Linked DNA regions of Xenopus tropicalis. The protein of the gene in region 7 interacts with the protein of the main gene of each other region in a biochemical or structural test. Links are inferred from orthologs where the notes say so. Each region holds a gene or a part of one and is shown on either strand. Other genes may lie near its edges.

What was found.
Region 1: the proteins of crk (region 7) and erbb3 form a complex in vitro, tested with the Homo sapiens proteins (2 studies listed by BioGRID and IntAct, with this or other methods). The link is inferred for Xenopus tropicalis from reciprocal best matches to the Homo sapiens genes CRK and ERBB3.
Region 2: the proteins of crk (region 7) and map4k1 form a complex in vitro, tested with the Homo sapiens proteins (2 studies listed by BioGRID). The link is inferred for Xenopus tropicalis from reciprocal best matches to the Homo sapiens genes CRK and MAP4K1.
Region 3: the proteins of crk (region 7) and rapgef1 form a complex in vitro, tested with the Homo sapiens proteins (4 studies listed by BioGRID, with this or other methods). The link is inferred for Xenopus tropicalis from reciprocal best matches to the Homo sapiens genes CRK and RAPGEF1.
Region 4: the proteins of crk (region 7) and arhgap32 form a complex in vitro, tested with the Homo sapiens proteins (2 studies listed by BioGRID and IntAct, with this or other methods). The link is inferred for Xenopus tropicalis from reciprocal best matches to the Homo sapiens genes CRK and ARHGAP32.
Region 5: the proteins of crk (region 7) and dock1 form a complex in vitro, tested with the Homo sapiens proteins (3 studies listed by BioGRID and IntAct, with this or other methods). The link is inferred for Xenopus tropicalis from reciprocal best matches to the Homo sapiens genes CRK and DOCK1.
Region 6: of the proteins of crk (region 7) and abl2, one has a biochemical effect on the other in vitro, tested with the Homo sapiens proteins (2 studies listed by BioGRID and IntAct, with this or other methods). The link is inferred for Xenopus tropicalis from reciprocal best matches to the Homo sapiens genes CRK and ABL2.

Annotation. Positions count from the first base shown.
Region 1 is NC_030678.2:137,690,874-137,694,373, reverse strand, and holds part of erbb3 (receptor tyrosine-protein kinase erbB-3), read left to right. Parts: intron 1-7; coding exon 8-81; intron 82-230; coding exon 231-321; intron 322-1,631; coding exon 1,632-1,837; intron 1,838-3,041; coding exon 3,042-3,174; intron 3,175-3,500. UniProt on the Homo sapiens protein: Tyrosine-protein kinase that plays an essential role as cell surface receptor for neuregulins.
Region 2 is NC_030684.2:80,427,211-80,430,710, reverse strand, and holds part of map4k1 (mitogen-activated protein kinase kinase kinase kinase 1), read left to right. Parts: intron 1-690; coding exon 691-772; intron 773-882; coding exon 883-1,002; intron 1,003-2,635; coding exon 2,636-2,711; intron 2,712-2,808; coding exon 2,809-2,870; intron 2,871-3,500. UniProt on the Homo sapiens protein: Serine/threonine-protein kinase, which plays a role in the response to environmental stress. Appears to act upstream of the JUN N-terminal pathway.
Region 3 is NC_030684.2:12,193,211-12,196,710, forward strand, and holds part of rapgef1 (rap guanine nucleotide exchange factor 1), read left to right. Parts: intron 1-709; coding exon 710-888; intron 889-2,649; coding exon 2,650-2,806; intron 2,807-3,500. UniProt on the Homo sapiens protein: Guanine nucleotide-releasing protein that binds to SH3 domain of CRK and GRB2/ASH. Transduces signals from CRK to activate RAS. Involved in cell branching and adhesion mediated by BCAR1-CRK-RAPGEF1 signaling and activation of RAP1.
Region 4 is NC_030683.2:72,445,810-72,449,309, forward strand, and holds part of arhgap32 (rho GTPase-activating protein 32), read right to left. Parts: intron 2,406-3,500; coding exon 2,251-2,405; intron 2,146-2,250; coding exon 2,074-2,145; intron 305-2,073; coding exon 1-304. UniProt on the Homo sapiens protein: GTPase-activating protein (GAP) promoting GTP hydrolysis on RHOA, CDC42 and RAC1 small GTPases. May be involved in the differentiation of neuronal cells during the formation of neurite extensions.
Region 5 is NC_030683.2:24,114,550-24,118,049, forward strand, and holds part of dock1 (dedicator of cytokinesis protein 1), read right to left. Parts: intron 2,268-3,500; coding exon 2,111-2,267; intron 1,311-2,110; coding exon 1,177-1,310; intron 1-1,176. UniProt on the Homo sapiens protein: Involved in cytoskeletal rearrangements required for phagocytosis of apoptotic cells and cell motility. Along with DOCK1, mediates CRK/CRKL regulation of epithelial and endothelial cell spreading and migration on type IV collagen.
Region 6 is NC_030680.2:99,888,316-99,892,295, reverse strand, and holds the start of abl2 (tyrosine-protein kinase ABL2), read left to right. Parts: upstream 1-1,180; 5' UTR 1,181-1,529; coding exon 1,530-1,716; intron 1,717-3,980. UniProt on the Homo sapiens protein: Non-receptor tyrosine-protein kinase that plays an ABL1-overlapping role in key processes linked to cell growth and survival such as cytoskeleton remodeling in response to extracellular stimuli, cell motility and adhesion and receptor endocytosis.
Region 7 is NC_030678.2:46,102,802-46,106,961, forward strand, and holds the start of crk (adapter molecule crk), read right to left. Parts: upstream 2,801-4,160; 5' UTR 2,673-2,800; coding exon 2,453-2,672; intron 1-2,452. UniProt on the Homo sapiens protein: Involved in cell branching and adhesion mediated by BCAR1-CRK-RAPGEF1 signaling and activation of RAP1.

The DNA.
Region 1 (3,500 bases), about 92 Mb from region 7:
ATTCTAGAGATTTGTGGAGAAATATCACAGCTCTAGACCCCAAAAAACTAAGCGTCTTCAAGACAGTGAAGGAAATCACTGGTAAGACATCCGACAACTTTATAAAGGGAAGGAGTTGCTTCCAGTCTCGTGTGACTTATCAGGAAAGCAGAGATATTTTGCTGGTATAGACATTACACATTGTTACACACTGATCTTCTTACATGTCCATTCTGTTTCCTTCACACCAGGGTACCTGAACATTCAGTCTTGGCCAAAGAGCCTGACAGACTTCAGTGTGTTCTCCAGCCTCAGTACGATTGGTGGACGGACTCTCCATACGTAAGTGGTTTTATTGTGATGTCTATATATTTCTACATCCACACAGCTCAGCTAGCATGCATGGGTAGGTAGCAGTGCCTTTATGTAATACAACAGCAAACATGCATGCAGTAAATAAATACATTTTATTAAGATGGGATTGAAGTAATATGTACTTTCCTCGGGGTGCAGGGGGGGCAGATATATTTTTATCTTTTATACGTTTTCTGTATATGCACATTTAAATATACTTTTTTGAGTAAAATCCCAGTTACTGGTCTTTTTTGGATGGTGTGTGTGTATATATATATATATATATATATAGAAAGATGCTAGTAAGCAGCACACCATTAGTTAAAAGTTGATACCTGGGTGCCTGTGCGCAAAAACAATATACAGGCTCGGATGACGGCACACACAGGGTTTGCATATAGATGTCACTGGGTCAAATGAAAATTAATTGCATCAGAGGTTTATTAGTTCCAACGTTTCAGCTCCACACAGGAGCTTTCGTCCTGTGTGGAGCTGAAACGTTGGAACTAATAAACCTCTGATGCAATTAATTTTCATTTGACCCAGTGACATCTATATGCAAACCCTGTGTGTGCCGTCATCCGAGCCTGTATATATATATATATATATATATGTAAAACAGGTTCTTAAAAATGTAATTACTTTACAAACTACTGGAGTTGAGACCTTTTATGTTTCTATTTTAATGTTTAAAGGAGAAGGAAAGTCATTTTTGCATTTAACTGCCAATAGATCCACCACATTAGTGCCACCTAGAACTCTATATTTATTCTGCAGAAAGATTTATCATACCTGAGTAAAGAACCCTAGAAGCTTTCTCTGTTTGTTAAGATTGTTTTAGCTTGGTGTTCATAGCTCCCTGCTGTATAGCTCTAGCCGTTATAGCTCAGATTACACATTCCTAAGGGTGGGGGGAGGGAGTTTTATGAAATTTTATGGGAGGGGGGAGCAGGAGAGGGCAAGAAGAGAGAACTGGGCAGACTTTGGCCTCAGGAATGAAGGATTTTTCTGAGAGAGGAAGTCTGATACGGAAGAACATGTTTACACAAAAGGAGACAAGAAATCCTGTGTTTCTTTTGATAGAGAACTCAGTGCAGCTTTTCTGTGAGTGCTTATGGCTGTATTTACATAGACCTTTCTGATAAAACTTACATTGTTTTTACCTTTCCTTCTCCTTTAAGTAGCAGTCACTGGGTATATGAGTGGGTTATGTCTCCAAAATAAAAGTGTATAGGAAAAAACACAAAAGGCTAACTTTTTGCTGACTACACCTTACGTTGACATAACTGTTTGTTCAGCCGAGGCTTCTCACTACTTGTGATGAAAAACAGCAACGTGACCTCATTGGGGTTCCGCTCACTGCAGGAAATCAGCGCGGGGAAAGTATATATTGCAGAGAACCAGAATCTCTGCTATTGTGACACTGTGAACTGGACATCTTTGTTCCCAACATACCCTCGCCAGAGCACTGAAATCAAGGGAAACAGAAAGAAGAATAAGTGTGGTAAATAAAACATTTACGTGCTATTCTGTGTCCCTTTTCGTGATTGGCACTAATGAATTGCTAAAAAGCCATGCTGCACATAGATTGAACATGTGACAGATATTAAAGGGGTGAGGTGGCAACAGGCAAAATCAAAACATATTAGTCTGATTTAACAGGAGTAGATGCAGTAATTAGGGTGAAAATGCATATTCATTGTTTACCCCTTCAGGTAAAGCAGTATATAAATTATTTTGACATGAGCACTGTGTATCGGCAGGGTAGCTCCCCTTTTCAGCCTGCTTGCCCCCCATTGTTCAGAGGGGGTGTGTTAACCCTGCCATAAGGAGTGCTGCTTCATAGCAAGCAGATACCCATTTATTCTTGACCTTCTAGAGTTGAGCAGCATAATGAAGACGAGACTTGTAAGGTTTTGCTATTTCAATGTAAAACTTCTGCACATTCAGTTTCTGTAGGCAATTCTGCTATAGGAAAAATCATATATTTTACAATAAAGTATGGCATAATAGCAACAGAATAACATCACTGATACCATTGATGCCATAACTGATATCATTTTGTTTACATTTATACAATGGTACTTGCATCAAAATTATGCAAAGTAGCTTTTAGCTTTGATAAGTAGCAACAAAAACTTGCTGTGGGTAAATTGCAGCTGCAGATTAGTGCAAGGGAATATGCACCAAAGGGCACCAATATTCCCAGATGAATGGATCAATGATTACTATATCCTGCAAGGAATTTAAAGCCATTCACTAATAACAGGTGTCTCCTCTACTCACTGGAATGAAACCTTGTCAACCATGTAAGGCAACTTCTGAGCCTCTAGTAAGGATGAGCTCTGAGATAGATGCCAGTAGGTCACTTATTTTTGAATAAACAAAAATTGCTTGTGTGGGAATAGGTAAAAAGATCAGTGTAAGAAAGGCTAAAGGCTGAGGATATTGCTCGCCTCGTTGATTGGCCAGGTTAAAAGACACAAAATGTACGTTTAGGGCTGAATCGGCAAGTGAAGGTAGAATTTGTATTGGTTCTACCTTTATATATGACAATTCAGCCCTGAACGTCAGTGGAGGGTGGGAACAATCTTTTATGAAAGATCGTTATTGCTACGTGTATGGCCACCTTAAGTTTGTCAGATGTTACCTTTAGTTTATTGTGTCCTTCCACCTGCCTTAAATCTCTCTGTATTTATTTTATTCAGTGGAGGAAGGGAAGGTATGTGACCCTCTCTGCTCTAACAATGGATGCTGGGGTTCTGGGCCAGACCAGTGTTTATCCTGCAGAAATTACAGCAGAAATGGAGTATGCCTGCAATCCTGTAACTTCACTGAAGGGTGAGTCGAGGGCCAGGGGTAGATAGCAGACATTTCCTTCTCAGAACACTTTTATGTTGCCGGTCTCATTTATATCACACTATTCCTAGTTTATACAATTTATTTAATAGTGTATTTACATGTATGGCGACATGAATGTGTAAGGAAAATTAAAAAAAAAACCCAGGAATTGGAAATGTATTCCCGACTATATAATATACCACAAGTCGTGCTCTGTCTCGCTGTAGAGTGTATAGAGATGTTTGTTCCATGTGGATCCTGTCACACAGATGTGAACTCCTGGTTCTGAGCCTGAAGCAATATAGCAACCTGATTATCAGACCGGC
Region 2 (3,500 bases), on a different chromosome or scaffold from region 7:
TGTGAATGTCAGTGTGGGCAGCGGGATGTTTATATATATATATATATATACAGTATATATATATATATATATATATATATATATATATACATGTATATATATACATGTGCATAAGTATATTGGTCAAATGTTTCTGCAATCTGCGGTGCAAAATTATATATTTCTATTGCATTTATCATATGTGAAGATATCTGTATTGCAAAAGCCATGGGACATCTATGTGCAGTACATTTAGCATTGACTGTGCATTCATATGCTGACAGGTTAACATCATACCTCATGTCTCCTACCTTGACTGACTGTTGTTCAGTGTCGGACTGGCCCACCAGGATACCAGGAAAACTCCCGGTGGGCCCAGGTGTCAGTGGGCCCTCCTGCTCCTGACCATTTGGCCTGTTTTATGGTCATTCCCTATTTCGGAATGGGAAGAAAGAGGAGAAATAGATGGAAGAATAGATGCTAGCATGTAAATAAAATACTAGGAGAGGTTGGGTGAGGAAAGGAGGAAAAATAATTAGGAAAGTGGGCCTATAATCTAAGGTTTCCTGGTGGGCCCCTGGGTTCCCAGTCCGACACTGCTGTTGTTTTTATAAATATATTCAGTACAGATCTTTTGAACCCCAATATTACTTTCCAATTAAAATGAGTAGAAAAGGTAAATCATTATGGTCTTACTGTTTTAACTTTCAGGTCAGCATCCTTCCACAATTTTGTAAAAGCTGCATTAACGAAAAGTCCAAAAAAGAGACCAAGTGCTTCAAAACTGCTATCTGTAAGTCATGGGGAGGGGCAGCTGGATGGGAAGGGTAGTGGGACTAAGCCAGAGTAGTTTCAATGGAAGTGTCTGTATGACCTGATATTACTTTCATCTTTACTTATTAGCATCAGTTTGTGGCTCAACCAACACTCAATGCTTCCCTCACTCAAGACTTACTGGAAAAACTGAGAAATCCAGAAAAACACAAAGATATTCCTAACCCAGATGAAGAAGAAGAGGCAGAGGTAAGACACTGTGAAAGAAAGCAGCAGAAAAGGCACAAAAAAGAATGTATTTAAAGGGACACCAATAAAATCCTTATTATATTTTTTTTTAAACACTCACAGTTATCTTGCACTTGAAAGAACCATATATCTTCTTTGGATGTTCTAATACCATTTATATAAATATGTTTTATAGCAAACAAAATAGTCCCATATGTCTCTCTACAGACAGTATGAAAACCTCTTAGAGCATATAGGACCCAGAAATATGTTATTTGCAGAAGCTGGAAAATATAAGCAATTAATTTGTAAAGTATTTAATACTTTTGATGTTACTGACCAGTTAACAGATATCTCATAACAGAACGTAGAATAAGAATTAAAGGCAATATTATAAAAGGAGAATTCTTAGTGGTTCTGGTGAAGGAAAAAAAAATTGAATTCAGTGTAGACATCGTGACTATCCAAAACAGGAGATACTGGGAAAGCTAACAAGGTTCACATACCATATGGTTCAATGCCATAATTACAGTCATCGTAGTGCCTGCTGTTAATATATTGTTCAGATAAGGCTGATGCCACACGTGGCGTTTTTACGCAGCGTTTTTTCTCAGCCTAAAAACGCTGCACAAGCCACACATGGCGTTTTTCAGCCTAGAACTGGTGACGTAAGCAAATCCCGTTGCCATGGTGCTAATAGTGCGAAATAGCAAAAAACGCCGCGTATTTCCGCTAGGTCTGGCAGCTGCCTTTGCGTATCCATAGGAATAGCTTGCTTTGCAAGTACTGGCGTATTTCAGCCAACGCTTGAAAAATCCGTGCTTAGGCGTTTTCTAGCGTATTTCCGCTTTGTGTGGTTTGCTGCGCGTCTTTTCAAGCTATTTCTATGGATGATGATATCAGGCGTTTTTCAGCCGCCGAGAGAATTAGAAAATACGCAGCGTAAAAACGCCACGTGTGGCATGAGCCTTAAGGGAACTCCACCCAAACACAACTTAAGCTTTTTAAAAAGTAAACATATTTTCAAGCAACTTTGCTTTAAACGTCAATTAAAAAATATGCAGCCTTTTCATGATTTTTAATGTAATAATATGGTTTGGGACAGTTACTGAAGCCTGGCCCCTGTTCTCCTGCTGATCTGGCTGACTATTTTGAGACTTTAAAAAAAATGTAACAGTACTGCCTTTAGCCTGTATGCTCTACATTATGTCAATAAGGAAAGGAACATCACAATGCAATGCATTGTGGGTTATGTAGTATTATATAGTCCTGCATGCTGTCTGTAAGCTGTGGAGAAGTTGCTACAATTTGTAACGTCAGTGTTTTAGTCTCTCCTTCCTAGCCAGGATTTCAAATGATGCAGAAAGAGAAGAACTGTTTTGCAGCTGGATTTCAGCAGATAAAAATTGTATTTATTCATACTTTTTGAAGAAATAAATTACAGTAATACATTTATTAAGGGTTTCTGTGTTTTGTGGAGCATATGTTGGTTCGGAAGCTGGAGTTTCTCTTTAAAGGTGATAACTGCTTTTTTTACTTTGGTGCAAAGGCTTAATCTCAGCTGATGCATACTGAGACATGATCACCATGACTTTTAGAATGGTAATAGATACTGCAGTTTCCATCTCAGAGTGCAAACATCATATATTAACAGGCATTGCCCACTTTCTCGCGCATCCTTTCGAAAAATCGCCACCCTAAAGCCACCCGATCCTCTTCAGACATTCAGTGTAAGTATTGGTGTTACTGACTTCTGTATAGAGATTGTGGACTATCTTGGGATTTATTTTATAAGTTAATAATACATATAATTCCTATTCTCCACAGTGCACCAGATCAATTTAAAGCAGATGGCAATAAGTAGCGAAGGAGATCCTGCATTAATATTGGTAATGAGCAATGCAACTTTTTATGATATGTGCAATTCATCTATCCATGGGGATATATCATATTAATATTTCAGTAAGCCTCAGTTGCTCTTAGGAATAAAATAAACATGATTGTTCTACAGTTTACACACTGTGTGACTGGCAAAAACAGGAGAGGAACCTTAAGCATATAGGGGTGCAAAACTCCAAAAAGCACTTGCATCGGGCACATGCATGCACTTTGCATCTCACGCTGGATTAAAAATCCCTCCAGAGGTGCAGCTGCAGCGCATGGCAATCCAGTTTTTAGGATTCCTTTTAACACTGCACCCACAGCCACTCTATAACATCCAAACATGTAAATTATGTAGTGTACAAGTTAGGGGGCGGTAGACCCTCCATTCAGCAGTGTTGTATTCAGTAGGTGAGTTCAGGCCCTTGTGCTTCATTCTGTCCTTATCCTTGTACACCTATAGGCAGGGTGTTAGGCTGATGCCAGACGTGCCAGAATACGCTCGGGTGCAGGCACATGTAGCCGATATACGCATGAAAACGCGAGACTTTGCATTCTCACGCGTTTTCATGCGTATATCGGCTACATGTGCCTGCACCCGAGCGTATCTCATTCAATCTGAAAGCATTTTTCCGCTT
Region 3 (3,500 bases), on a different chromosome or scaffold from region 7:
CATGAAAATGTATTGTTGTGGTAGGGTCTGAACCCAGCTTCAGATGAGGGACCCAACCCAACTACAGATGAAACAACTGACCTATCCTGGATATGTGTTCTTGTGATTGGGTCTGAACCCAACTACAGATGAAACAACTGACCTATCCTGGATATGTGTTCTTGTGGTTGGGTCTGAATCCAACTACAGATAAAACACATGACCCACCCTGGTGTCATCATGAATATTTATTGTTGTGGTAGGGTCTGAACCCAGCTTCAGATGAGGGACCCAACCCAACTACAGATGAAACACCAGACCCATCTTGGATATGTGTGTTGTTGTGTATATGTGGTAGGGTCCTGAATCCAGCTACAAATGAGACCCAACCCATCCTGCTCTCAATATACATAGGTGTTTTGTGTTCTTGTTGTAGGGTCAGAACCCAACTACAGACCCATCTTGTCGTCTTAATTTTGAGTGAACCAAGGTTACATACCGGATGCATCCTTATACTCATGGTATTCCATAGTACCACCCCCCACGCTGTCACTATTCCCACCAATATTAAAGTCATGTAGGGCTTAGTGATACCTTGTAGCCTACCTTCTTCTCAATTCATCTTATCCCTCTTGTTGAAGCTTGCCATCTGTTTAGTAGGTGAAACGTTTGATATGTTTCATCTGTAAAATCAACCGATACATGATTCTTGTTCCAATTTTATTTCTAGACCTTAAGCCGCTTGGAGGAACAGGAGAAAGAAGTCGTTAATGCCTTGCGTTACTTTAAGACAATTGTTGACAAGATGGCGGTGGACAAGATGGTGCTGGTGATGCTGCCAGGGTCGGCGAGCAAAGTGTTGGAAGCCATTTTGCCATTGGTGCAAGTGGATACTCGGTGTCAAGAAAGGTTGGTGACCCCCCATCACTTTTTGCCTGGGAGAACTGAATTCAAATCCTTCATGTGTAAATTCTAAAATGCTATCTCCTGTAAATTCCATTATAAGCAAATAATTGTAATTTTTAAAAGTTCCTTGTACTTGATCCCATCTGGGGGCAGAAATGGTTAAATGATTCCCTTTTCTCTGTAATAATAAAACAGTACCTGTACTTGATCCCAACTAAGATATAATTACCCCTTATTGGGGGCAGAACAGCCCTATTGGGTTTATTTAATGGTTAAATGATTCCCTTTTCTCTGTAATAATAAAACAGTACCTGTACTTGATCCCAACTAAGATATAATTACCCCTTATTGGGGGCAGAACAGCCCTATTGGGTTTATTTAATGGTTAAATGATTCCCTTTTCTCTGTAATAATAAAACAGTACCTGTACTTGATCCCAACTAAGATATAATTACCCCTTATTGGGGGCAGAACAGCCCTATTGGGTTTATTTAATGGTTAAATGATTCCCTTTTCTCTGTAATAATAAAACAGTACCTGTACTTGATCCCAACTAAGATATAATTACCCCTTATTGGGGGGCAGAACAGCCCTATTGGGTTTATTTCATGGTTAAATGATTCCCTTTTCTCTGTAATAATAAAACAGTACCTGTACTTGATCCCAACTAAGATATAATTACCCCTTATTGGGGGCAGAACAGCCCTATTGGGTTTATTTCATGGTTAAATGATTCCCTTTTCTCTGTAATAATAAAACAGTACCTGTACTTGATCCCAACTAAGATATAATTACCCCTTATTGGGTTTAATTAACATTGAAATGATTTTTTAGTAGACTGAAGGTATGGAGATCCAAATTATGGGAAGATCTATGTATCTATGTAATTACACCACAGTCTATTATTAGGAAATAATCCAGGTAGGTTATGTAGTCAAATGCTGTTAAACCACAGGAGATCTGTCCCATCCCATCATTATTTGTAACTGTCTTACATCACATTGCTTTGGGCATAGATAGCAATGTTCAGTGTGACCCTGAGGGTTTTGCCCAAGTGTCTTGTTTTTAGAGCTGTAAGTAATATTGAAGAATCTCATATCCACATATTGGGAAAATATGTATTATTAAAGGAAAAATATCCCTCCCCCCCCCCCCCTTTGTAATAGTCTGCCCCTGACTAATAGGAGCCTTTTTCCCCGCCCCCTTAGCCTGCTACAGTCACTTTTGAAAGCACCAATGTAACATGGAAGGAGGAGTTGCATAGTTTGCCTCTGACTCATAGGAACCTTTTCTCCGCCCCCTTAGCCTGGTAGAGTCACTTAGAAACCATCACATGGATGAAGGAGAAGGAGCGGTTGCATGACTCTGCCAGCCTAAGGGGAGTGGCAAAATGGTTCCTACAAGTCAGGTCAAGAGAGTTTAATGTTGAAGTAATAGATTATAATAAGAAATACACCCCCACCTTAGGCTGGCAGAGTAGTTTAACCCCTTCTTCACCTTTTTCCATGTTACAGAAAGAGATTCTTAGACTTAAAGTCCGACTTGTTGTCTTTCCATAGACTCTTTCCCCCACCTTGGAAAGCAGACATCCTTCTGTAACATGGTAAAAAGTGAAGGAGGAGGGGTTGAATGATTCTGCTAGCCTAAGGAGGGGTGGGGGGAATGAGTCCTTATTAATCGGCAGCGGAATACTACGTCAAAAAGGGGGGGATGATATATTTTGAATAAATCACGCTTATCATTCTATCTCTCCTTTATACCCAGCACCGCCATCTCTTCCTGCTACAGCCGCGTGTACCAATCCCTCGCCAATCTGATTCGCTGGTCTGACCAGGTCATGCTGGAAGGCGTCAACTCGGAGGACAAGGAGATGGTCACCACCGTCAAAGACGTGATAAAGGCCGTCCTGGATGGCGTGAAGGTTCGTATCCCTGCTGTGCGACTCCCACTGAGACCGCTGCTCGTTTGTGTTTCCAGCACATTTCCTAATGAGCTCCGGTGCCAAGCCCATAAATCCATTGTTCTTACTTCATGGATTAGCAGCCCTCCCACTGAATAGCGTCAACATTTGGCGCCCAGCGGCGTTTAGGGAAATGATATATAAATAGCCAGTAAAAAGTGTTTTTTAACATTCATAACTACAGATATAACTGTTTATTAGTTAAAGGGGATCTCCACCCAACAACATCCTGATTCAGTGTGTAAAATATAAGCATGTTATTTAGGCCTGTTTTATTTGAAAATGGATTAATATATCCTAAAATACAATAACAGTGTGTGTATTCCACACTTCCTATTCTTCATAAGTTCCATGGAAAGAAAATATTGTCTGAATCTGTTTAGCAAGAGAGCAAAAGTGGGTTAGGGCAATGTCAACACTTGGCACTTTAATGTTTCTATGGCTGCTGTACATGCTCTATCCATAGAAAGAAATGTCCCATTCATGGCTGGGAACCCTAAACTCCATTTACCAATTGCACTAGTCTCTATAATCATCTCCTCCATGGAACAGATATGGCCAACTTTTGGCATTCCTGCATGAAGTTGCTGAACTACAACTCCAAGGGTCCTACCTCACAGTGGGAATTTTGGGAGCACATTTTAAGGTGGCCATA
Region 4 (3,500 bases), on a different chromosome or scaffold from region 7:
TGAAAAAAAATGTCTGGTCCTTCAGATTCTAGCTGGGGAGGGCTGCACTGAAAAGACATTGGGTCAAAGTCCAAACTGGCCATACCAATGTCTGGTGGGCTGAGTTCTTCATCCTCAGGAGAGCGACCTGACAGCATAGCAGGCACATGAATCAAACCCTCATCTCCATCACTGTCTTGGTCTCGGGGCAGATTATCATAGGAGTTGCAACGGTTGCAGCTATCCAGAAGGTCCCCATTATATGAAGCAGACAGAGCATCGCTGCTGGAACGAGGACGACGTGGACGAAATAGCTTCGACTCTCCTGGTAGTTGAAAAATGTTAGTGTGAATTAACATATATAATGCTTATTTAAAGAACTGTAACCATCTACATAAACCGATGTATATCTACAAAGAAACTATATATATATTTTTGCGTTACCTGAAATTTTTCTAGTTTAATATAAAAAATGCATATGCTGCTTTGTTGATCAAACATTAGTAACATGTGGGGGAAATATATTATATTGTCATTTTACAGCATATTTTGAATCTGTTAAAAAAATTAAAAATATAATAAAAATGCAATGCTTCCTGCTGTATATTTAAGGAGAAGGAAAGGCTAAGTCACTTGGGGGTGAAAACCGCACCAGCCAGGGGTACCTTGAGCGAGGGCTTCCTTCTTCCTCTTTCTTCTGCCGGCAAAATCCCTGGGCCAGCACATGCGCATTAGAGTGAAAAGCCGACTTTGTTGTAAAATTTCGGCTTTTCACTCTAATGCGCAGTGCGCCAACGCAGAAGAAGGAAGCACTCCTACAGGGTAAGCGATTTAAGTCACTTGGGGGTGCCTAACATTTTGGCACCCCCAAGTGACTTAGGCTTTCCTTCTCCTTTAAAGGTCACCTTTCCTTACATGTTTAGCCTACTAAAGCTGCAAACTGACACAGCCTGTACTCAGATGGAGGTAAACAATACTGTGCAAACACCCCATTATGGGTGTGCACAACAGGGCGTCAAGACTAAAGGAGGCTTCAGTCATAAGCCTGACTGGTTGTGCTGCTGTCCATGACAGCACTATTTCTCTCAAATGGAAAGTGGGCTGTGAAAACCAACAGCTCTGGTGGGGGGAAAACATTTACATTCTATATATACAGTATATTGTGAGTTGGTCCCTAAGCTCATTAACTGACAGCAACACAGAACATGTGCAGTGAATGAGCAGAAAATAAGATGCATATTGCATATTGTATATGCAATACAAAAACACTGAGGGACTGATTTATCAAAGACTGAAGATCATAGTTGTGCAATCAAAAAAAAAAAATCTTAATTAATCTTATTCTCATGTCTTTTTTCATCGAATTGTGTAAGTACAACCTTTCACTGTTGACACATAAGCCTCGTAAATAAACATATGAGGTATACAGGGCATGTGTATATTCATATGTTCTGTGACTACACAAAAAATGTACACTTCCAGCAATACTGGAGATCTTATTTCCTTGCTTGGATTCACATTACAGAACAGTGGTGCCTTGTCAAAATTATGTAAGTTTCAGAATCAGTCTCACTTGGCTGATAAGCGTGGGAGTAACACACCTCTGGGATCATCGTCACAAGGTGTGTGACCTCACGCACCAACACTTGCCAGCCAAGCATGATGAATTCTATAGTTAGAAAGATACTTCTAAGTACCTACAGAGGTAACTGAGAAGGAGAAGCAACAAATACGTCAACCTTTTAAATTAATAACAATAGGTTCTGTGCAATTTGTCAGATTGCACATTTCTCCATTTATTTGGGTGTTATTTATATGTATCATGTATATTTTGTTAAATAATTACTGCATCTAATTTAAATGGTTTCTTAAGCTTTTAGACTAAACAAGAGAATACAAGAGAATACCAAGTATTAAGGGAAGCCCAAATCAAACACATTAGATGTTAAATTACATTTTCACATGCATTTTATCATTGTCTTTTAAAATGGTGCTAGGACGATGACTTGAAGCAAACGCCTAGTTTACTATTTTTGTTCTGTGCAATAAATTTCTTCTCTTACAAAAAAAATGAAGAACACCATAAATACATACCATCTGCTGCATGCAAGGAACTGAGAGACTCCTCGCTTTTAGCTGAGCGCATGGTGCTGCTATCTCTTCCACCTGAGGAGAAAACAATAGATATCAAACCAGTGCCAATAATCAGAAACTAACTAAATGCTGCCACTTAGATGTAAACTTTAATTCTGCTATCCTGCTGCAAAATACCTGCAAATGCCATGGATTTCATTTCCAAAGGCTCACTTGGATTACGCTGAAGTTTCCGCTTAGACATGGAGGCTGAAGATGATGATTTGCCTATGCTAAAAAAAGAACGCCAGCTTCCAACAGGAGATTTTTTCATTTTGGTTGGCGGTCTTTTCCTAAGAGAAACAGAGGGGGATTAACTAACAAAAAAAGTTTATAAAACACCATTTATTTATGAAGAAAAGAAAGGACTGAAGGAAGGAAGAAAAAGAAAAGGATGAAAGGAAGAAAAGAAAGGATTAAAAAGGAAGTAAATGAAAGAAAGCAAAGAATGAAGGAAGGAAAATTTAGAAATGAATAAAGTGATACTTGGTGGATCAAGCATTATCCTTTGTTTGTATAAAGGTAAGGTACCATACTCATGATGGACCTTAATGAAAAAGTTTTTATAAAAACTCGTCCAACAAACTGTCCAAAAAAATGTGTGGATGCAGACAAAAGTTTAAGATTTCCAGACGTGGTAAAATGAACTGCATGCTTTCAAGACATTGAGATCCCTTCTTTGGACAAACTGTTGCCTTACAGTGACAGTATACACATGAGCATAATAAATATGCCTTGTGATTACATTTTTTTTGGCTATTGTTTTGTCTAAGAAATATCTATGGTTTCTGTAATTTCTGACACTAAACAAGAATATGAAGCCAGTTTCACTTAAGTACCTACCTGATACCACTTAAATTCAAAGGAGCGAATAAAACTAATTACTAGTCTACTGAGAATCCCCTAATGAGCTGCTCAAAGGCTGCTGATTGTATGTTTGTTAAAAGGTAAATAGGGCAAAGGCACACAGGGCATATTGTCAGCCTGCGGATAAGCTCAAGCTGACAATACGCTCATACGCTTACAAAATCTTCTCGTTGTGCCTGCACCCGGATGCACTGAATTCGCCTGGGTGCAGGCACATGCAGCCGATATACGCCAATAGATGCATGAGTTTGTGTACGGGCGTAATGTCAGCCTGCACTTATCTGCAGGCTGACATAGGAAGCTCTGAACTAATTGCTTTGTTCATAAAGGAAGTGGTGTTGAGTTAAGTGAAAAGAGCTCAACTTTCAAATAAGTACTTTGCAATGCCAAAAAAATGGGAAAACATGGATTTCTTCTAAAGGCAAGGGCACACTAAGCAGATTTGCTGTTTTCCTCAGCCGTCATTTTATACAGACACAGAGAAAAACGGATCTACTCTTGTGCTCACACCCTCGTAGCTC
Region 5 (3,500 bases), on a different chromosome or scaffold from region 7:
TGTGCAAATTCAGTGATTCTCGCGCACCTCAGGGAAAAGGGGAATCTTATGTAACAGGCACATCTGTAATAACAGCAGCAATCTGTCGGCTTTCATTGCTGTGAGGCTCGGCCTGTTTGGTATCTGACTGAAATCCAGCCCCTTTGTATACAGTTTATTTAGATTAAACATGAAGGGTGCACACAGCTCTGTAACTGCTCATCTGTGAAGCTGCAATAGGCTGGAAACGTTATTCATTTAGGGAATTACTGAAAGGTTGGAAAATTATTATTTGAAAAGATTATTGAAAGATTTGAAATTAATCTTCCAAATTTAACCTTAATCTCTCCATTGTCATGCCCTGTGCTGCAATGCATCACATTAAAAATACTAGGCATGGTTCAAAAATACCCTTAAAAATACCACTGCTATAGGAATCTACAGGGAGAATGTATGGAAGCTACTGAATACAAATGTATGGAAGATGGACTGAATACAAACTGGCAAGTACCAATCCCTTTGACTTTACAGGACAACACTGAAGAGGAAAAATAGGCACAAACCAACTAAACAAATTGGTTATTTCCTCTGATTGGTTACGGGAATCACTCTGGGTCACTGCACCAAACAAAACTGTTTTACATTGGTTAGGCAGAACTGCATGATTGCTAGCCCACACTTCACTCGTCTTGCTGCCCTTTCAACCACTGGCCTCTCCAAACTTTCATTTCCTAACAAAACATCTTAAGAGGTCTGTAAGCACAGGAAGATATAAAGGGTCTCTTATGAAGACCCCCAGACCAATGCACTAAGGGGTGCAGTAGCGTGTCCCATAGTGCTCAAGATCTAACTGTGCTTGGGTGTGTGCAGCCCAGTCACTACCAGCTGGTAAAGGCAGGCACTGTATTTATGGGGGCAGCGTCAGGCATCTGGAGGAAAGAGACCTCAAGGCGAAAAGGTGGGATGGATTTGTCCATGCAATGTATTTGACATACATACACATGAGATTAAAGGACCACTTCAACAAAACCCATCACAATTTGGATATTTTATAGTAGAACGCTGCAGATAAAGCCATTCTCATTCAAATTCTATTGATTTAACTACTGGGTTGGAAATGAAAGTCAGAGGGCACACAGTATTAGATATTAACGCAAGCACATCAGCACCAGAGTGGGATGCCTGTAGCAACCTTACCCTGTGAGGAGGGGGTGGAGGAGTTGAAGGAGTTACGGAATCCGTGAAATCCATGACATTGCCGTAATCTGCCGTGCTCCCTTTGACTGGAAGTGGAGGGGGGGTAGCCACTGATTCACCGTTCATTTCCACGCCTGAAAAAAGTAAAAAAGAAATCAAAGTTAAACCAATTTGTCAAATGAAAGAACTCATTTAAATTCATGCTGTTGAGATTACACATAGAGACATCCCTTGCAATGGTGAAGATTTAAAAGAACCATTAAATACAGTAGTTTGATCAAACCGTAGCAATACCTGTGGATTCTAACAATGACCACATCCCATGCAGATGGGCTTTTTACATGGCTCATATGAGTATATGCCTGGATATCAATATATATTAACTCTGCACTCAGCACCCTACCTCCCTATGCGGTCATTATTAAATAGTAACATTTACATGTTAGGGATGCAGACAATGCCTGAGAAATACAATGTACTGGGCTGCGTAAGATTACTTGGAGAACTGTATATGGATTATATGAATGATAATTTACTTTCTTGCTGTTTGGACTTTTCAAACTTAAACCTCCCTTGGGGTCCCCATCCCTCACTTGAAAGCATTCTTTGGTAATACCAAAAACTAGCACACAACAATCCCGTTACACTAGCCCCACTCCACCGTACTGAAGATCAAGCATTTTCTAACATAAGATAAACATAAGATCAGACAGAAATCATAGAATAAGTCCAAAGCACTCATGAAAGTAAGCCATTTTTAAAAAATGTTTGGTACTGACCTATGGCCATCATGGCAGTATGAGGGCTCAGTGTTTCCCCCAGGGACAGCAACATTTAACAGTGATTTTCTAAAGTGTTGCTTCTCTTATTCTCTGGCCTTAACACGTAACTGAATACAGCAGATTGGATTTGGAAATATAAAGAATATCCTTACCTGATGGAAGACTGAACAGAGCCCTAACTCTTGGAGTAATGGGTGGTGGCTGGGTTTGTTGTGGGGTAGCTGGGCCTGGAGATACAGAAATCCGCCTTTCACCAGTAACGAGGTTGAGAACTTGGCTTTTTGGTCGCTGAGGCCTTAAAGGGCTTATCTGGGTTTGGGAAATAACAAAAGCGCTTGAAGAAAAATGCTGCAATGGTTTTATCCGAGTTGTGCACAACTGTGTGTTACTTATAGTTATAGTACAGGTATGGAACCTGTTATCCAGAATGCTCAAGACCTAGGGTTTTCTGGATAAGGGATCTTTCGGTAATTTGGATGCCCATGTCTTTAGTCCAATAAAAATGTATTACATCCTAAAAATATTTTTTAAATAATAATTATTTGCTTATTTGTCCTTCCCATCCCCCATAGACTACATTTCTGGATAACAGATCCTACACATGTATAGATAATTAGTGCCTGATAGATACTTTGCCAAACTGGGACTGGTTTTGGGGGACAAAGTCAATTTCAGTTACACAGTGTAAACACATTTTGGGACTTTAGGGCATCTGTACCCTAATTATAAGGTTTGAAACCAAGATGTCTTAAAAACAACCAAAAAAAAAACCATGCAGTCTACATTATAGGGATGCACATCACTGTACTTGTATATCATACAACCTGTTCACTGTAGTCACTGGTGTGAACAGGTTGTATGATATACAAGACAAACAAATAGAAGAAATCTTGAAAATCTAGTCTACAGGAAGGCTGCCCAGCTATAGTCCCCCAAGATGTGGCTTTCAAGTTATTGTATATGCCCCTTCTTCAGACTGCTGTGTACAACATCATTATTTTTATATTATGCAGGACATTAACATGCAATATGTCAACTAACTGATACAATGCATGAAAATGATTGGTTAAGAGTTGGTATATGGGGCCAGCCAACAGGCCTTCCCAAAAGATATCTGGCCACAAATCGGGCCGATATCCATCAGGAAGGTTTGATCTTCCCGTCAGGGTGGGGGCCACATAAGCATATTGATTTGGTCCTTTCCCTGATGGCTGTAATTACAATTCCATCAGTGGTGGCAATTATAATCCGGATGGATCTTTAGCTGTATGGCCCCCTTTACATGGAGGTTTTACATGCAGAGTTATACTGAAAACTGCCCATGCTATCTCTCGTTGACTTTAAAGGAACAGTAACGCCAAAAAATTAAAGTGTATTAAAGTATTTTAAATATAATGTACTGTTACCCTGCACAGGTAAAGTTGTGTATTTGCTAAAGTAACAGTACTATAGTTTATATAAATGAGCTGCTGTGAAGCCATGGGGGCAGCCATTCAAGCTGGAAAAAAGGAGAAAAGGCACAGGTTACATAGCAGATAACAG
Region 6 (3,980 bases), on a different chromosome or scaffold from region 7:
AGGACGATATTACAAATTTACTAGCAATGTAGTTGACAATAAATTTGTAATCCCTATGTGCCTGCCCCCCACCTGCCCGTCCCCTCACTTCCCTCTGTATGCCCCAAACCTGCCTACTCACTGTATTCGGAGCAGCTGCATCATCCTGCCCCTACAACGCCATCCCTGCCTCTTACATTATGGGCCAGAAGTAAAGGTGGCAACCTTACTCTCAAGAGTGTTAGCTCAATAAAGGCAACAATTATTTGTAAACAAAATTGAGATAAATTCCCTCAAATGGCTTTCTATGGGCCTGCAACTAAAAAGAAGCCATTATGAGACCTGAAGATGTGAAGGTATACCTCTCCACTTCAGAAAGTACCTTGGTGAGGTAGTGTGCTAAGACACCTTTTGCAACTATGCAAGTATGACTGTGAACACATAACATATGGAGAAAAGAAGACAAAGGGGCACATTTACTAACCCACGAATTGTCGCGACTTTTTCGTTACCAATACGATTTGCGCAAAAAACGTGAGTTTTTCGTAGCCATTACGATTCGCTCGTATCTTGTCGCGACTTTTTCGTATTGAGCGCTCGTAAGCGGTGGGCGAAACTTTCAGACTTAGCATGATTTTGGAAGCCTCCCATAGGACTCAATGGCACCCTGCAGCTCCAACCTGGCCCAAGAAAAGTCCAGATACTGAAGCTTGAATGAATCCGAATCTTTCGTACTCGGCGCGAAGGCTATGAAAAAGTCGCGACTTTTCGCGCAAGTAGTAACGCTACGAAAAAATCGGCGCAAAATTCGGAATGGCAACGAAAAAGTTGCAACAATTTTCCGAAAAATCGCCAAATACCGATCATTACGAAAAAAACGCAATCGGACACATTCGGCCTGTTCGTGAGTAAGTAAATGTGCCCCAAAGACTACTGGCACTAGTAAACATTACAAGACAACATTGTAACATGTAAACATTACATTACATTAAACATTACAAACATTATAAGGTTACTTCCATCAATAATATGTTAATACTAATAAAGGCGAATCATGATTTGTCCCCTTTTTAAGGGTAGCAGTCCTTTCCACAGGCAGATATTTATTGAGAAGCCTTTTATGCTCCTTTAAGCCTTAACACACTTGGTGACTAATTTCACTAAATGACACAGGACCTGGGCTCTTAACGTCGCCATGATGTTTGGGGCGTTGCTGGAATCAGCCGAAGTGGGCGCTGTAGATTTTCGTCATGGGACCCAGGAGGCGCACTGCCTAATTTCTCTAGCTTCTCGATGATTAAGATGGCGGCGGCCTGGGCTGCGGCTGAGGCGCGGAGCCAGAGCTTGTGACTGTGGGATTGCTAAGCCGCAGCCCGGCTGTGACTCGGAACTGTATTATCTTGGGCGAGTCGGAAAGGAGGAAATATTTTCTGGCTTGGGGGAACCGGACGTAAACCTGTTAGCAACGAGAGGGATGTGACCGGCCTGCCTTGGGCCATCCCGGTGGGGGCGGCTGCAGTGGTGGGGAGGCAGCTTACTAAAGGCCGGGGATGGGCCAGCAGGTAGGCCGCGTCGGAGGTGAAGCACCTAGTGCTCAACAGCCGCACAGAGGAGCCAGAGGCAGCGGAACCAAGCCAAGCGCACATGTGGGAAACATAGCAGCAACCAGCAGCCGGAGAAGGGAAGCGACAGGCAGAACCAACCCAGAGACTGGATTTAACATTTTTACACAGCACGGTATGTTGTGTCTTCTGGGCGGGGGATGTCAAGCCTGCACCTCTCATGCGCTTTGTAAACAACACATTTATCATACGGGGATGCTGGGAGTTGTAGTCCATTCGCATCTTCAGCCCACAACATAGACACAGCTAGTATAGGACATCCATAGCAGTTCATATCTCTCTTACCAATAAGCCAACCAAGTCAGCTAGAGGGAAATACTAATTGTGGCAGTCCATTGACTTTTTAGCAATAGTATTGATAGGTTTATAAGGTATTACACCTATATATTGATTAAGAATTCTGACAGAGCTTCATATCACACATTGGAGGCACCCAACATATATTGGGGTCACATTTTAATTAGTACCTGTCTTATTTGCATCCATAAATCCCAATTCACACAAGATGCAGTTAGAATAGAATATATCTTTATTGTCATTGTCTTTATTGTCATTGTCTCATTCTCCACTTCAGAAAGTACTCTGGTGTACTAATCTGCGTCTGAAAGTGGTCATACATGCCACAATCCTGACCTTTCTCACAACCATTGTTCATTCACTCTACTAATTTTAAGAGCTGAATGGTCACATATGCAAGTAAAAATAAAGGCATTTTTACCCCTATCTTACCATTCAGCATTAATATGCGGGCACCTTTAGATGTACCCGATCAAAATTTGCAGACCTGCCCGATTGATAAAACAACCAGTATTGTTTCCTATGACAATATCAGTGCGTGTATGGCCACCTTAAGCTGCTGCCTCAGTCCCTCCGCACAAGATCTGCAGCCTCCTGACAGCCTGCGCAATTATTATCGTGGATGTTTGAAAATCTTGTTAGACAAGGACCAAGTGTAGATGTGGTGCATGGTCAACTTAAATCAGTGGTTATTTGTTTACCTGTAGTGGTCTGATTTAGATATTATGTTAAAGTTATGATGTATACTTTAGAGAGGCCTTAGGGCTCTGGCACATGGGGAGATTAGTCGCCTGCAAAATCCAGTGGAAGGACACATCCACCTCATGGGCCTTTAGTTGGACAGCCCTAAGCTTAGTGATCCTTTGTACTTGAGAAAAGGTGCATGGAACTGGCAGCAGGCCCTATGTTAATAACGGAGGATGTAAATGTTATTTATAGCAGTGATAAAGATGCAGACATTTCAAGAAAAGTTCTAATGCCAAAGGCGATTATAAAGTTAAAGCCTTTTATAAATGGTCTCAGGGAATGGGCCAGTGTAAGGCAAATCTTGGGTTCTAGTTTCAAATAGAGAAGATCTAAGCATGTTTTTGGACAGATTGGAGTTCTAATGGCACCTTTAAATTTCTTTTATATAAATGTGTCCTTAGTACTCTAAACCTATTAATTTTTCCTATTCCTTACCGGAACTGGACCCTGACATTGTACCTTGTTTCTCGTACCCCTTCTTTTAAATTGTAAGCTGTTTTGAGCAGGGCCCTTTTGTATTGGATACCTTGCAGATTGTAAGCTCTTTTGGGCAAGTCCCTCTTCGCCTTTTGTATCGGTTGCTTTATATGTTACTCTGTATGTCCAGTGTATGAAACCCACTTATTGTACAGCGCTGCGGGATATGTTGGCACTTTATAAATAAATGTTAATACAGGTATGGGATCCGTTATCCAGAAACCTGATATCCAGAAAGCTCCGAATTACGGAAAGCCCGTCTTCCATTGACTCCATTTTAATCAAATAATTCAAATTTTTAAAATTGATTTCCTTTTTCTCTGTAAAAATAAAACAGTACCTTGTACTTTGATCCCAACTAAGATATAATTAATCCTTATTGGGGGCAAAACAATCCTATTGGGTTTAATTAATGTTATTGATTTTTTAGTAGACTTAAGGTATGAAGATCCAAATTACGGAAAGACCCCTTATCCAGAATACCCTTGGTCCCGCGCATTCTGGATAATGGGTCCTATACCTGTAACAATATCAGTCTTATCTTTGTATGTTCACTGTATACACCCATGTATTGTACAGTTCTTTGGAATATGGGGTTGCTTTATAAATCCATTCTCAGCATGTATCTGAGAAACCTAGTGATGATCAGTTTGGCCAGAAACCCGCGGGAGCTACTTTATACTCTGTTATTAAAACATATTTGAGGGCAAAGTTTTAAATGTGAAAAATGTTGAACCCTAATGCGTGTGCTAAGAAATAGTGTTGCTAAGCTCCAATGTACAATGAATGGCTTACAACCCCTTTTCTAAAAAAGTTTGGACAATATGTAAAATGTAAATAAAGAGAGACTGGGATGAT
Region 7 (4,160 bases):
CAGGCAAGAAAAAAAAACTGCATGGATTTTAAGAATGCTAATTAAAATATGGTAGAAACATTAAAAATAAAAAAAATGAAGAAAAAGTACTGTATTTTGTATGGGTTCCAGGTAATCCAGTAAAAATATAGTGTAATTTATACTCAAAATGTATACTCAGAATCATTGCAGATGTGTCATGCAAACAAGTAGCACTGGAACACACAATACACACATGTAAAAGTGAAGAGCACAATCTGGTCTTTATTCCCACAACTTAAACCATTGGGTGACAGTGTGAATGTAGTATGTCCTATTCCACATACAATTAACAAAAAAAAAAAAAAAAAAAAAAAAAAAAAAAGAGAGAGAGAGATGGCCCTTCACTACTCTGAAATTGGGCCACACTTGCTAAGAAAATTATCCATGTGTCATGGACAAGCATGAATTGTTTCCACTGTGTGCTAAGGGGACTTTTATAAGCAAAATGATTCATGATTTTACAAATTAACTAAACGTTTCTTATTAAAGTTACGGGATTGGAAGAAACTGTTTTACGAGTTTCAGCAACTGGCCCACAATATTAATTGTATCACTATAAAGAAAATAAACGCTTATCTTTCAGTCCACAACTAAATGACTTTCCCTGCCTGCAGCTGCTTCCTGTAGGTTTGAAGGGAAATGTACTACCAATGGTAGACTCTGGCGCTGCCAGGTCAGGATTGCATGGGTATGCCAGTGATTGTTCCCTATATGGTAGTTCGGGCATTTCTCATATAAAGTGTGTGCCCAGTTCCAAAGTAGTAGCTGCTTAGCGTGCACGAGGGTTTTGTTCCTGAAAGGAATAAGGGTACAAAATGTGCCCAAATTCTTAAAGCACAAATCTGGACAATAAACTCTTTGGTGCTTGGACTTAGATCTTAATAATTGTGCATAAAAGCACAGTGGAAGACCTATATAAACAAATAAGTTGAGTAAAGATGATGTGACAATATAGTTTCCCACAAGCATTGTCCCATAAAATAAGGAACTGTAATACTGGGGAATTCCTCAACACATTTTAATTCCATGGGGGGGGGGGGGGGGGGGCAGAATGAAGCAGCAAAGTTAAATGAAAAACAAGATTTGCGGAACCGACTGATTTGTTTGTTGTAAATTCAAATTTTACCTACGTTTGGCGCAGAGATTTTGCTTGGGGTATGTTGCAATAGTGTCTTTGGAAAAAACAAAGATTGAGCCACAGTGCAATTTTTATTTATTTTTCAGAAAATCAAAGGAAGCCATTCAAAGTGCAACCTAGACTATGAATCAGTGGTTTCTCATTTGCTATCAACACTAAAAGGGATTTTTACGGATGCATTCACCAAATCAAAAGAAAAACCTTTTGTTGGATGTTCCTGTTTAAGGAAGTTGAACACACACTTTGAGGTCAGGTATGCAAACCACTAACACAACTATTTCCTATGAAATCACGGAAAGCCTCTACATAATTGAAATATGAAAAAAAACCAGTCTGCTCACAAACTTACAATTTTAAATCCAACTCCTTGTTTGCACTATAATGACCTGGGAGCAGTTGTCCATTCAGTAAATCTGGAACACAGATGACTATGAGGCCTGGACTGGCAATCTGTCTATTCCAGTGATCCCCAACCAGTGGTTCGTGAGCTACATGCTGCTCCCCAACTCCCAGTGGCCTCAAAGCAGGTGCTTATTTTTTAATTTCTGGTTATGAGGCAAGTTTTGGTTGCATAAAAACCCAGTGTAATGCCAAACAGAGCCTCCTGTAGGCTGCCATTCCACATAGGGGCTACCAAATAGCCAATTATAGCTCTTATTTTCACCCCCAGGAACTTTTTTCATGCTTGTGTTGCTCACCAACACTTTTTCCATTTGAATGTGGCTCACAGGGATAAAAGGTTGGGGATCCCTGGTCTATTCTGTTAAATGCCAGAGGGGCTACTGTGAGTTGCCATAGACAGTCACTATCAAAAATGTTACAAGTTCTGTGTAATTAAAAACCAAAAACTGGGCTACCACTGCGCCCCAACTAAACAGGGATATAACATGGCTCTAATTCTAAGACTCAGTGACAAATGGCATATAATAAGGATGGACTGTGGCTCTCAAACTAATTGCTCACAAGCTCAAATGCCTACAAATGAGTTTAATGCCCCCAGTGCACCCAATACCGGAAAACCTTTGCATGCATTTCATTTTTCTATATTATAAATGTATATCTATATATATCTATATCTATATATATATATACACACACCAGTGTTTAGTCACTATGAGCAGTTTGGATAAGAGAAATAAATGCAAAGGGAATAGGCCCTCGGCTTTCTGCTGTAAGTGCCTGGCAGCTGCGCCTCTACAATTCACTAACACATGCAATGCAAAATATATTCTATTTATCGGTATTAGTGCAGCCGCCCCCACCTCACATGCGCTGCATGTAGCCCCTACTCACCAGTCCCACTCTGCCGGTTGTTGCTGACGCTGTTGATGATATAGTGGGAAACCTTGGAGTTCTCAGAGACAGACAATACGTAGTCACCAGGTATAGTTGTGGAGTCTCGAACTAAAAACACACCGTGCCGCTGGCCCTGCAGAAGATTGACCGCCTCTTGTCTGTTCAGCTTGCCCCAGTACCAGCTCGCCCGGTCCTCGGAGTCGAAGTTGCCCGCCATGGCTTTCCTCCCCCTATGGGCCTCTCCCTAGCGCCCCGGTACTCGATACTACCACCGGCTTAAGGCGGCAAAAGACGCCGCCCCCAAACCAGACGCGGCAACCAGTCTTCTAACTACCGATCCCGACCTCACCAATCCCGAAATGGCGGCACAGGAAAGATCTGACCTCACCTTCCGGAAATGCGTCATTGGAGCAGCGACTATGGAGCGCAGGGGGCGGGTTCTCTTGACAAGTTAGAATTCTGACTTTTAAAAAGCCGTGTTTGTGCTTCTTGCCGACCAAAACTAGTGCGCTCCCATTCGGTAATCAGGCCGCTGGGTGAAATGAGCCGTTTTAATCACGTATTTGTCAGTTTCTATCTTAGGGTAGACTAATCAAAACTAAACTACTGCTGTGATTGGTAACACCAACATTTTACTACTGGCGTAAATGAGCACCACTGTCTCATTTGAGTCTTGGAAGTGAATATTAGATACGTGGTAGGGGAAACCTTTGCACGGAATAAAATACATATATGTATGCCTGTTGTGAACAGTCGCAGGTTTTATCTAGGCAATGGCAAGGTCCAAAGGTCCATTACTCCAAATTGGTGGGGGATCAGGGCCAAGAGCAATATAGATTGTAAGCTCTATGGGGCAGGGACCTCCATCCTCTTGTGTCTTTGACTCTTATTGCAACTGTATTTATCTTGTATCTATCTGTATTTATTGTTATACTTTGTATTTATCTATTATTATCTTAATAATCCCCTGTTTGTATTAATGTATTCTACTGTACAGCGCTGTGTACATAAGTAGCGCTTTATAAATAAAAATATACATACAATGCAATATGTCCAGAGCCAAAGCCACTATTCATCTGTCCCTGATTCTTTATAACTTTATTGTAATAAAATGTATTTTAGGGAATAATGAACCATCTGCTAAAATTAAAGGATGTTAGAAGTCAGCAAAAAGTTTTATGACCTTATGAAAGCAGCAGGCCAATATATAGGGACTCCATCTTACATCCTCATCATGTTATAACAGGGGTTTTTATAATACACAACACAATATACAACAATATCATAATATCAAATTATAAAAAAAAAATCATGGCTCTTATGTAAATACTAAATAGTAAATATTGCCCCCTATGGTAAAATGTAAGGATATTGTAAGTATGCATGTATATCTTTATTTATAAAGCGCTACTTATGTATGCAGCGCTGTACAATAGAATAGATAAATACAAAGTATAACCATAAATACAAGGTACAGTTGCAATAAGTTAAAGGAGACAGATCCTATAAAAATTATGAATGTACCAGTGAATTATACTCCTCTAGATATAGAAGGATTGTGCTTTAAAAAGTTGTGTTTCCTGCTGATCTATTGAGAAATTCCACAAAAACCCCACTAGCCCCGCCCATCCGTTCCACTTCCTGCTGGCTGAATTCTCTGGATGAGCTGGGGAGCCGGTGGCCCTCCCTACACTGCACTATAAGA